3 linked regions of the Danio rerio genome follow. The protein of the gene in region 1 interacts with the protein of each later gene in a pairwise test. Links are inferred from orthologs where the notes say so. Each region holds a gene or a part of one and is shown in the gene's direction. Other genes may lie near its edges.

The links.
Region 2: the proteins of lrp2b (region 1) and mapk8ip2 interact in a two-hybrid assay, tested with the Homo sapiens proteins (2 studies listed by BioGRID). The link is inferred for Danio rerio from reciprocal best matches to the Homo sapiens genes LRP2 and MAPK8IP2.
Region 3: the proteins of lrp2b (region 1) and mapk8ip1a interact in a two-hybrid assay, tested with the Homo sapiens proteins (2 studies listed by BioGRID). The link is inferred for Danio rerio from reciprocal best matches to the Homo sapiens genes LRP2 and MAPK8IP1.

The regions. Positions count from the first base shown.
Region 1 is NC_133187.1:17,725,100-17,728,756, forward strand, and holds part of lrp2b (low-density lipoprotein receptor-related protein 2), read left to right. Parts: intron 1-54; coding exon 55-177; intron 178-285; coding exon 286-402; intron 403-2,690; coding exon 2,691-2,801; intron 2,802-2,920; coding exon 2,921-3,034; intron 3,035-3,657. UniProt on the Homo sapiens protein: Multiligand endocytic receptor. Acts together with CUBN to mediate endocytosis of high-density lipoproteins. Mediates receptor-mediated uptake of polybasic drugs such as aprotinin, aminoglycosides and polymyxin B.
Region 2 is NC_133193.1:9,483,870-9,488,318, reverse strand, and holds the start of mapk8ip2 (C-Jun-amino-terminal kinase-interacting protein 2), read left to right. Parts: upstream 1-1,521; 5' UTR 1,522-1,862; coding exon 1,863-1,927; intron 1,928-4,449. UniProt on the Homo sapiens protein: The JNK-interacting protein (JIP) group of scaffold proteins selectively mediates JNK signaling by aggregating specific components of the MAPK cascade to form a functional JNK signaling module.
Region 3 is NC_133200.1:14,745,967-14,749,623, reverse strand, and holds part of mapk8ip1a (C-Jun-amino-terminal kinase-interacting protein 1a), read left to right. Parts: intron 1-22; coding exon 23-95; intron 96-254; coding exon 255-424; intron 425-1,438; exon of another isoform or gene 1,439-1,793; coding exon 1,794-1,897; exon of another isoform or gene 1,898-2,020; coding exon 2,021-2,137; exon of another isoform or gene 2,138-3,657. UniProt on the Homo sapiens protein: The JNK-interacting protein (JIP) group of scaffold proteins selectively mediates JNK signaling by aggregating specific components of the MAPK cascade to form a functional JNK signaling module. Required for JNK activation in response to excitotoxic stress.

The DNA.
Region 1 (3,657 bases):
ATTTGTTTAATGCAAATACATTTATTATTATAATTATTTACCTCGTTCTTTTAGCATTACCCACCTGTAGCTCTCAGGAGTTCAAGTGTCTGACAGGAGGAGAGTGCATTCCTCTTGAGTTTGTATGTGATGGAGAAGCAGACTGCGCTGATGGCTCTGATGAGCAAAGGACCTGTAGTATGTCTACATAATTAAAATTTGGTTAATTCCGTTAAAAATAAGAAATAATATATATAACACATATAACACAGACAGTCTATGACCCCACCTTTTTTATTTTTTAAGGTGGTCAGACGTGTAGTCCAGACCAGTTCACATGTAGAGAAGGGCAGTGTATTCCCAAACAATACAACTGTGACCATGTGCCAGACTGTGTGGATAACTCTGATGAGAACAACTGCAGTAAGAACCTTTCTTCCCATTTACTATTCCTCTGTAGCAATGTGGATTTTAAACAACAGAATGTAGTAATTATCAAATCAGGCAAGTCTAACATATTTTGTAATTATTTAATTTTATGACTGTAATGAAACTCATGACTTATAGGGGTCTTTAGTAGATATGTGCTTTGTGAATTTTTAATTACTTTCAAACATTTAAATTAGGTGTTGTTTAACTGAGCAAGCACATTTTCACAGTATTTTACAGATTTTCCCCCATTGGCCACAGAACAGGCTCTGGTTGTTGAATGACTTAATCTAACTTGCCTAATTTACACCTTGTTGTACCCTTAAGCTAAATGCTTGTATCTTGATAATTTACTTGTAATATATTATGTATACTGTCATCAGAGCAAAGACAAAAGTAATTAGCTATTAAAAAATTATTTAACTATGTTTAAAAATGTGTTGAAAACTATGTTTGCTCCATTAACCTCATGTCGTGTTCACATCCCGGCGCTTACTTTAGTGTTCCAGGTCAAAATTGAGCAGTCTGTTTTAACTGCTTTTATATTAGCACAAAAAAAACATTTTTCACCACTTAATTTTTATTTAACATTCTTGACCTGTGAACAATGTCTCAAAGTAGTGTTTAACATTAATTGAAAAATTTAGATATAAAATAACTGCAGTGAAAATACAATTAAGCACTGAATGTATTACAAAATTTCCCAGAGATGGGTTGCGGCCGGTAAGGGCATCTGCTGCGTAAAAACGTGCTGGATAAGTTGGCGGTTCATTGCACTGTGGTGACCCTGGATTAATTAAGAGACTAAGCCGACAAGAAAATGAATGAATGTATTACAAAATAAACAATCAATGACAGAAACTAAAATACTTTGTTTCATTACTAATAGACAGCTAACTAAGAAACTAGCAGCGTTTGACCAAAGAAATTTAAATTTTAATTAATCTGTATGATTTACCAAGCAGCAAAGCACAAAGAAAGCGGCATACTTTCCTGTGTATTGAGTCCTCAAAATTTTATTCAGTCCTTCAATAGGACAACATTAGTGCACTAATATAGGGATTAGTGACTGAGGGTATAGACAGTGAGCATGGACACAGAACTAGCACTAGATGTACTTTGGTCATTTTTGAGCGAGATTCTAATGGTCTAATCCAATAAAATAATGGATGCTAAGCTTAGCTAAAAGTGCTCCTGCTACACCCAGAGATAGGGTGAACAAAGAAAGAAAGAAAGAAAGAAACAAAGAAAGAAAGAAAGAAAGAAAGAAAGAAAGAAAGAAAGAAAGAAAGAAAGAAAGAAAGAAAGAAAGAAAGAAAGAAAGAAAGAAAAGAACACACAGATGGGTTTACATTACAATTGCTTTATTAGAAAAATGATTTGCGTTTGAGGATCCATTGCTTTCTCAAGGCAAATCACTTACTGTTCAGTCTGAAATGTGTGTGTAGGTGAGTGAGTGAGTTGGGGTGGTGTGTATAGGAATGCTTTCTCTCTGATGGATGAATATAGTCTGGACACCCATTTATTTTCTGTTACGGTCAATTTTGATCGGGAACACCACTGGTGTAACAATTGATTAAAACACTTCAAATTGAATGAAAGAGATGATCTGCACTTCAAGTGCATAGCATGGAGGATATCATAAGGCCTTGAGGCAATCAGATGTAAAAGACAATATTTCTGAGTGTTTTAAGCATAAAATAAGATTTGACTCAAGCACGACAAAAGGTTAAATAGCAAAATGAATTAAAAATTCACAGAAAAACTGGTAATTTAGCTCTCATCTCTATAACAAAACTCTATAATAACTATTTATTTCAGTCTAGACCTGTAATACATAAAAAAATAAATACAAATATTTATTACTTTTAGCAATTTGCTGTTTACCATTTCTCAGTAACAATACAGACTGTAAATGTGTAGTTAAAAAACATGACCAGAATATCAGAACATAAAAGATTACTGCATTATTATCATTTTATATTACTTTTATAGTCAAAAGTAAATTCGAATCTTTTACACCTAAACTAAATTGCAACATGTCTGTCACAAAGGTTAAAATACTGTAAAGTAACCTTTACCTTAATGGTTAAAGTAAAGTAACGTTATCTTTACAAGAAAAAAGCATATGACTACTAGCCATGGTCCAGTACACATAAAAATCTCAAGATAAATCAGCTACCAAAATGACACGAGAACACTGTTGGGTGACGTAAAATTCATTCATATTCAGATTTTGTAATTGCAATAAAATGCATCAAATTTCTTCTCATTTATTCCAGATTACCCAGCCTGCACAGAGAAGACATGTGCTAATGGCGCTTGTTACAACAATGCTCAACACTGTAATGGGATACTAGATTGTCGAGATGGATCAGATGAATCCAACTGCAGTGAGTTGTAATAGTTATTAATTAGAGATGCCAGTGAATAGAGTTAAGATGTATATTTAGGATTTTACGTTGCTGTCATTTCCTTTCATATATGTTTTTGTCCTTCATCTCTGAAACAGCAAGGCATTGTCAGTCACATCAATTTGAATGTGCTAATGGATTCTGCATCCCAATGCCCTTTGTCTGTGATCACTGGGATGACTGTGGAGACAATAGTGATGAGCAAAACTGTGGTGGGTTCCATATTTTTTTTAACATATTCGACCAAAGCTGCTGATGTTACACTGAGATTATTTTTCAGGAAAATGAATGTTCATTAAAGGAGTCAAAATATCCTGATATGATTTAAAACTGTGTCACAAAAATGAGGTGGGACTGGATAGAAATGCATTTATTGATAATAATTATAATTTATTGATTTAGATACAAACCACTAATACAAACCACATTAATCTTTAGTAATATGTGATTTTGAAACATTGCTTTGTAAAGCTTCATAATTTTGCAAATCTTTTGTTTGAATCCCGTGATTCAATTCCAGGTAAATGGATTCACATCTCTGTATTTTTCAGTTAAATATATTCAAGTGTGATGTTTGATGATCAAATTTTGGGAGAAGAATGAGCAGATGTTTTGACGAGGATAATTCATCATTGACAATTATTCCACTATCCAATCTGCATAAATAATCCAGCATATCTCCATTTTCTCTCGAATTTGGCATCCCTCTACCACTCCGATTGGGGGGTTGGGGTGGTGGGGGTTACTCCTACAGTATCTCTCTCCCTTACAACAAGGGGAATAACCCTGGTTATAGTGTCTTTCAGTCCAAAGTCCTCTACTCAGACAGTGTGAC
Region 2 (4,449 bases), on another chromosome or scaffold:
CTGCCTAGTTGACCTAATTAACCTAATTAAGCCTTTAAATGTCACTTTAAGCTGTATAGAAGTGTCCTGAAAAATATCTTCTCAAATATTATTTACTGCTTTCATGGCAAAGATAAAATAAATCAGTTACTAGAAATGAGTTATTAAAACTATTATGTTTAGATATGTGCTGATAAACTCTTCTCTCTGTTAAACAGAAATTGGGAGAAAAAATAAACAGGGGGGCTGATAATTCAGGGGGGATAATAATTCTGACTTCAACTGTATATCGTTATTGTTTAGTATGGAGTATAATAATCAAAACTGCATTTTTGCCATATTGTTGAGCCCTAGTTTGTGTTTAATACTTTGATCAATAAATGGTTTTCATAAAGGAAAAGGTTTTTATTTTTATGCTTTTTATGCTTTGATAAGGCTAGCTGGGTAAAAAAGAGAAAAAAACTAGAATTTACCTGCTTTTATTATATTTATGCTATAACTTTGCAGCATATATAGTTATTATAATGAGAGATTATTAATTTAGTAAAAGAATTTAATTTAATTTTTGTAAAGGAGAAAGCGTCCCCAATTGTAATCCAATGTTGGGTCAAATATGGTCAAATCGAACAATTTGTTTAACTCAACGGTTGTACAAGAACCCAACATTTATTTTATGCTGTATGTTTTTTTTTTAATTGCTTGAACTGACTATAACAGAACATCAGAAAAAAGTCCAAGGGATTATAGATCTTAGAAAAGGTCAATAATATACAGCCATAAGAGAAAAATATATATAATCACAAATAACATTAGACAGAAAGGGAAAAAATTAAATATAATAATTACAGCAATACTACTACTACTACTACTACTACTACTACTACTAATAATAATAATAAAATTAATAATAATAATAATAATAATAATAATAATAATAATAATAATAATAATAATAATAAAAAAACATACACAAAATAGTAAATCAAACAAAAATAAACAAATGAATGAAATTACAATGACACTTAAAAAAATAACCATAAGGAAAGCAGCTAAAATCAAGGATCTTCTTTAAATAAATCTGTATAATATTTCAGGAATCTTAGTTTTTTTATTATTTTTTATTCTTAATAAGATGAAGTGATTTTAGGAGGGAGTTAAATTCTATTATAAAAATGAGCAAAGGATAGGTAATTATTTGCAAATTTTTCTTTTAAAAATGTTTTGGGTTATTATAATAAAAAAATTATGTATTTTGGACTAAAGCATTTCACAGCATTGGCAAATATGAGAAATTAGGAGTGACCAAAACTGCTTGTAAATTGGACAATCAAAAAAAATAACCTATATGCTAATGTCTCCTCTGCTTGTTTGCAGATAGAACAGGAGCTGTCAAGAATTTTATGGTGTATGAATTCGAACTAAAACTAATAACTAATCAAACTGACCAATCAGTGACAGCTTCTGATATCTAAGCCACTCCCATTTATTCCATCAGTTTCATGTTCGCCGTCATTCTACTCGCTCGTTCTGTTTCTGTGCCTCATGCACGCGCCTCTGCCTCCTCAGCATCAGCATCATCAGATGCGCGCAGATCACGCCAAACAGCGCACTGGTTTACCAGCAGGTGTGTGTGAGCGAAACACAAGATAATCGATATCTATACATCGCCACCTATGTGTGTTCTTGATATCTGACTCGCATTTCTTCGGATCAGCGATTGGACCGTTTTGATGGTTTGATTCCCAGCGGGCGTTATCAGTCAGCGTGGCCGCGAAAAGAAGACGGAATCAAGCGAGATCATATTTAATATCCGCCTCTCCAGCGTCTGTGGATGGGCTGCGGACATCTGCATCTGCAGTCTCTGTTTTTGAGTCACTAAGAAGATGGCGGACAGGGCAGAGATGTTTTCTCTCTCCACCTTCCACTCCCTCTCTCCTCCGGGATGCAGGTAAGACGCGCAAATGCTTCTCTGGGGCGCGCGCGGGGTTTCCGCTGCTTCTGCCGTATATTTATTCATATAATCGGCTCTTATGTGATCGTTAACGTAGCGCTAATGTCCTCAAGCACATTCAGAAATTAGCATCAGCATCATCAGCATCCGCAAGCAGTGATCCTTAGCATCCTCTGTTTGTTGATGTGCATAAACAATAACGCCCTTGTTGTTGTTTTTTTAATCATCATTATTATAGTTGTCGTTTGTGGCACGGATGCGTTGTGTATATGTGTAAATGACGCGCTTGTGACATGAAACTAAGCGAAGGACAAGCGATTGATTTTTGTTCCTTTTTTTTTCTGCCTGGCATGTCATTGCCTGACGCATCCTCTCTCTGAGATAGTTGGCATATACTGGAAAGACCCACGCCCTGTTGTGATGCTCATAACTGCATTTTAATCCGTGATCACATATTTTAATGTTCTTATAATTATGTAATTATACAGGGCTGAGTAACACTATTGAACAGTCCTCAAATTGTGATGCGGAGCTGCTTGTAATTGCACATTGTTATCGGTATAACTGTAATAATTGTGCTGGGGAAAAGGGTATTTATTTACATGTTAGTTGTGATCATGTTTTGTATCATAATTTACTTCCATCTACAAAAAAGTTTAATGGGATGTTTTGTAGCACTTTTAATCTGCTAATAGGGTAAAATACATGTGTAACTTGACTACGTTGTCAAAAAAAAGAAGCATAACATGTATAATGTCCTACGACTGGATCTTGTTAAATCAAGCTGGTTTGTGGATTTGCTGTATACAACATGTATACAACATATGCCAGAGTAGTTGGCGGTTCATTCCGCGGTGTTATTTCCTGATAAATCAAAGCGAAGGAAAATGAACGAATGTTTAATTAAAATTACAGAAGTTTTCCAACTTTAAAGCACAATGCATAATTCAAAATATTGGAAAACACATGCAAATAATAATATTCAACTATTCATTAATATAGTTCCTTTATTAATCCGGGGTCGCCACAGCGGAATGAACCGCCAACTTATCCAGCACGTTTTTACGCTGCGGAGGCCCTTCCAGCCGCAACCCATCTCTGGGAAACATTCATACACTCTAATTTACACTGATACACTACAGACAATTTAGCCTACCCACTTCGCCTGTACCGCATGTCTTTGGACTGTGAGGGAAACCGGAGCACCCGGAGGAAACCCACGCAAATGCAGGGAGAACATGCAAACTCCACATAGAAATGCCAACTGACTCAGCTGATGCTCGAACCAGCAACCTTCTTGCTGTGAGACAACATCACTACCTACTGCACCACTGCGTGGCCTAATATTAATATTCCTAAATGTATTTTTGATTGCATAGAGTGCATGGTGGGTATTTCTTGGCACCTGATTGTATTTCTTATATAAAATACATAAATGTATATGCACCTATAAACTTGTCAGTGCTGCCTTGTGGCTTTTCAGTGGCAAGACTATATTATGGATAGTCTCATGACATTCCTCAATAGTGAGGTAATAAGCTCTTCTCGAAGCAAATGCTGTTTTGGACTGTTTTACTCACAGGGCCGTTTATATCGAAGTTGATATCTAGCTGTATCATGTTGTTTCATTCATTTATTAATTTTCTTTTCGGCTTACTTCATATATTAATCAAGGGTTGCCACCGCAGAATGAACCGCCAACTTATTCAATTTAATTTATCTTTATTTGTATAGCGCTTTTACAATGTAGATTGTGTCAAAGCAGCTTCACATAGAAGATTATAGTGAATTGAAACCGTGTCAGTTCAGTTTTCAGAGTTTAAGTTCAGTTCAGTTTAGTTCAGTTCAGTGTGGTTTAATATTCACTGCTGAGAGTCCAAACACTGAAGAGCAAATCCATCAATGCGCACCTCTACAAATCCCGAATCATGCAAGCCAGTGGCGACTTATTTAGCATATGTTTTACGGAGCGGATGCCCTTCCAGCCACAACCCAACACTGGGAAACATCCATACACTCTTGCATTCACACACATACACTGCGGCCGATTTAGCTTATTCAACATCTAACTTTTACAAGGTGTGTTGTTAGCCCAACGCTCAACCCCTAACCTGGAGGACCAGGACATACACTATGGACATTTTAGCTTACCTAATTCACCTATAGCACATGTCTTTGGACTGTAGGGGAATCCGGAGCACCCAGAAGAAACCCAGGCCAACACGGGGAGAACACGCAAACTCCACAAAGAAATGTCAACTCGAACCAGCAACCTTCTTGCTGTGAGGCGACAGTGCTACCCACTGTGCCGCCACATGTTTTATACACTGTATCAGTGGTTTAAGCAGCTATTACTAGCTCTAAAATTACATTTTGGAATTAGAAACAAAGATTTAAGATAAGGGGGCAGCGTGGGGGAGCAGTGGGTAGCGCTGTCGCCTCACAGCAAGAAGGTCGCTGGTTCAAACCTTGGCTGGGTCAGTTGGCATTTGTGTGTGGTTTCCTCCCAGGTGCTCTGG
Region 3 (3,657 bases), on another chromosome or scaffold:
GAATGTTTGTTCTTCCTCTCAGGTGCTGAGTTTGGATTCTTCTCCTGCGTTATTAATGGAGAGGAAAGAGAACAGAGCCACAGAGCGGTGTTCAGGTAAGCGTTCAAACAAATCCTTAGTGCTTTGTTTTGAAAAAATAGAAATAAAGTAGCCATGTTACATAAAAGGGATATTGAAATATCATGACCAAGAAAGTTTCGGGATTAACTTAATATTTTCAATAATACGATTATCAATCGTTTGCTTGATTGCAGATTTGTTCCTCGTCATGATGATGAGTTGGAGTTAGAAGCGGACGACCCATTACTAGTGGAGTTGCAGGCTGAGGATCTGTGGTGCGAGGCCTATAACATGCGCACCGGAACCAGAGGCATCTTCCCTGCTTTCTATGCCGTCAAGGTGGCAAAGGATGAACTTGTTAAAGGTAAATCTTGCTTTTACTGTAGCATTTACAGGGTGTCTAAAAGTCTTAAAATGTCTTAAATTTCAATAGTCTTAAAGATGCAGTATGCACGTTTGACACCCAGTGGTTGATCTGGGTATTGCACTCGGGAAAGCACACACAAGCGCAGGTTACCAGATTCACGACACCAACAGGAGTGTGCCTGAATATAGAGCCCAATGGCTCATTTAAGGCTGATTTAACCCATGTTCTAAAAAAAACACGTGATAGAAAGAATATTGCATATTAAAAAAAGATTTTGTTCTAGCCAACACCCGAAATCTATATTTTAGATATGGCTTTATTTTCTTGCAGCTGAACAACTGAAAACTGACAATAATCACCTCAGGTACACATCATGTGCTTTATTTGGTGTTAAATGCTAACAATATGAGTTTAAGTGGCATTATATGTGACATTTATTGCCATACTACTGAAAGCAGCAGCAGATCTCAGATCCTGAAAACAAAATAAACAGTTTTAAATTGAACTTTTGAAGTGTGACTTAGTGAAAGCCAACTTGTATTAGTGATTCAGCATGTACATTAGTAGTGTTAAAGAGGTTTAATATGTATTAATTAGATTATAAACCTTACAATTTTATTGGAGTGCAGTGAGTGCACTATTCTTTGCTTCTGAATGGCTGTATTTAAATTTCAGTTGTGTTTTATCCGGTGCAAACAGCCACATTGCTAAATCATTGCAAATCTCAACACGTAGCTTGTTGTTAAGGCACGGGTTACAATGTAACCTGCTCACCTAATGTTTATGTTTGTTATATTTATATTATATGCTAGTTAATAGGCATGTATGTTCCTTAAATATTTGCAAACATATTATGGTATTTTTATGCTTAAGAAGCATCAAAAATTTGCTTACAGCACCTTTAAATTTACTGAATATTAAGTAGTAGGTCTTTAATCATTGTAAACAGGCCTTGATTTTCCTATGTCCAAGTAAAGCTACCCTATCGGGCTGACAAACAATCACCAATAATCCATCTTAAAACGTTTTATGTATATATTTAAATTTATTATTACAAAGAGATACAATTCACAACTGCTGTTAGACATCATACAGCAAATTAAACTTCCTAATCTGAGAAGAAAACAAAAGCAACACATCCCTTTACATGATCTTCCATTAATACAAAAACTATTTACAGAAGTAAGCAGGCCATTCGAAAAAATCCTAGGTGTTTAACCCTGTATAAGTCTAAAATATAATTCGTAACGGTCTTAAAAAGTCTTACATTTGACTTGAAGAAACCTGCAGAAACCCTGACTTACAAGAATTTGAGATTTTGTGCATTTAGTAATGATTACTTCTTTTGTCTGCTGTGATTCATTAGAGGTCAAAGGTGACTGGATGGACAAATTCTGGGTGAAATTTCTTGGTTCTGTTCAAGTGCCGTATCACAAAGGGAACGATGTGCTTTGTGCCGCAATGCACAAGGTACTAATCCAATTCTGTGTTATGACTCTGGCTTGGATGTTCATATATTTACATAATGATTGCAGTGGTGCATGTTGTTCATATGTAATCTGATGTTCGCTTGCGATCTGATTATGTCAACAGATAGCATCAAACAGACGAACAACAATGCAGTTTAGCCCTCCTTCGCCTTGCATAGTGGAAATCAACACAAGAGGATTGAAAATCGTTGTTCAGGACGACTGCCGCACTTCTGGAAGGGTTTGTAGATGACTCAAATTCTTTCTGATGTAATAAATATTCAATATATATATGGGTTGCAACAATAACAGCCTGAGGTGTCAAGACATTTGTGCTGCCTGTTACTTTACAAACCACAGGATAGGGCAAATTATTCAGCAGGATAGAGCTCCTTCTCATACTTCTCATACCCATAAAGCAAAAAAGGTCAAGGTGCTCCAGATTGGCCAGGCAAGTCACCAGAGATGAACGTTATTGAGCATGTTTGGGGTAAGATAAAGGAGGAGGCATTAGAAATTAATCTTGAACTCTGGGAGTCCTGCAAGAACACTTTCTTTGCCATTCTAGATGACTTTATTAATAAGTTATTTGAGTGATTGCAGAGATGTATGGATGCAGTCCTTCAAGCTCATGGGAGTCAGACACAATATTAATTCTTTTTCCACTGCAGCATGACATTATATTCTATATTGTACATTATTTCTGTTAAGTGACAAGACTTTTGTCTAAGCAAAGTCAGACTTTACTGTTCTATTTAAATAATTAAAAATCGAGGCATGATCATATTTTATTTTGGTAAAATAAGCGTAATCTAGAGACATTGTCTTTCATATAAGCCACTTCTGAGACCAAATGATCAACTAGAAGTCAAGTTATTATGTCTTGTTCTTAAATTTGGATAGGCACAATACTTTTGTCAGGTAGTGAATGTGTGATTCTTCAAATATGCGTTTCTAGAAATTTAATTAAGTTTAAATTTAATTCAATTAAGATGGGATATTTTAAACTGAACATTGCTTCCCACATGTTTGAAATATACTTGCAGTGGTAGCCGGATTGAAATACACTTTTTACCCACGTCACATAAATTAGTATATACTATATGCGACAAACAAAACATAACTACATTTAACAATATTTTATTTATTAAGGAACTGTTATACACTGTTTCTTTTAATAGGTTAAAGTTTTTAAGGAAATCCACAATTTCATGCAACTTTTATGCTAGTCGGGAGCATTTTGTTCAGTATTGCCAAAGCATATTAGATCTATAAAATATTCACTATATTAACATCATCAAATTAATAAAATATACAGCAAATAAGAAATAAATTACAGAAAAAAAGAAATAAAAACAGACAATATCTCTAAAAATGATAACAATTACAAGAATAAACGTGTAGATTATTTCAAGTTGATTAGCCATTTTTAATAGTGTACAAATGTTTTGCAGCCAATTTACATCTAATTTCGTCCTCTCCGACTGAGACATTAAGATTAAAGAATTAATTATTTAATGTCTCTCTCACGGTTGTGCACAAACAATTGATGACAGCTTTAGAAAGCGGAACCAAAAGAAATCCCGGAAATTTTAGGAGATTTTCAAAAATGTGTGTCAATAAATATACTTTGGGAGCTGTTAATATACCTGGGTGGCCTGCCTAAGTAAAGTTTATGTGTGGGAAGCACTGCATTCTAAACCCTTTCAGAAATAATACAAATATTTATGTTAAATCTGTTGTTTTCTACCAAATTCAATA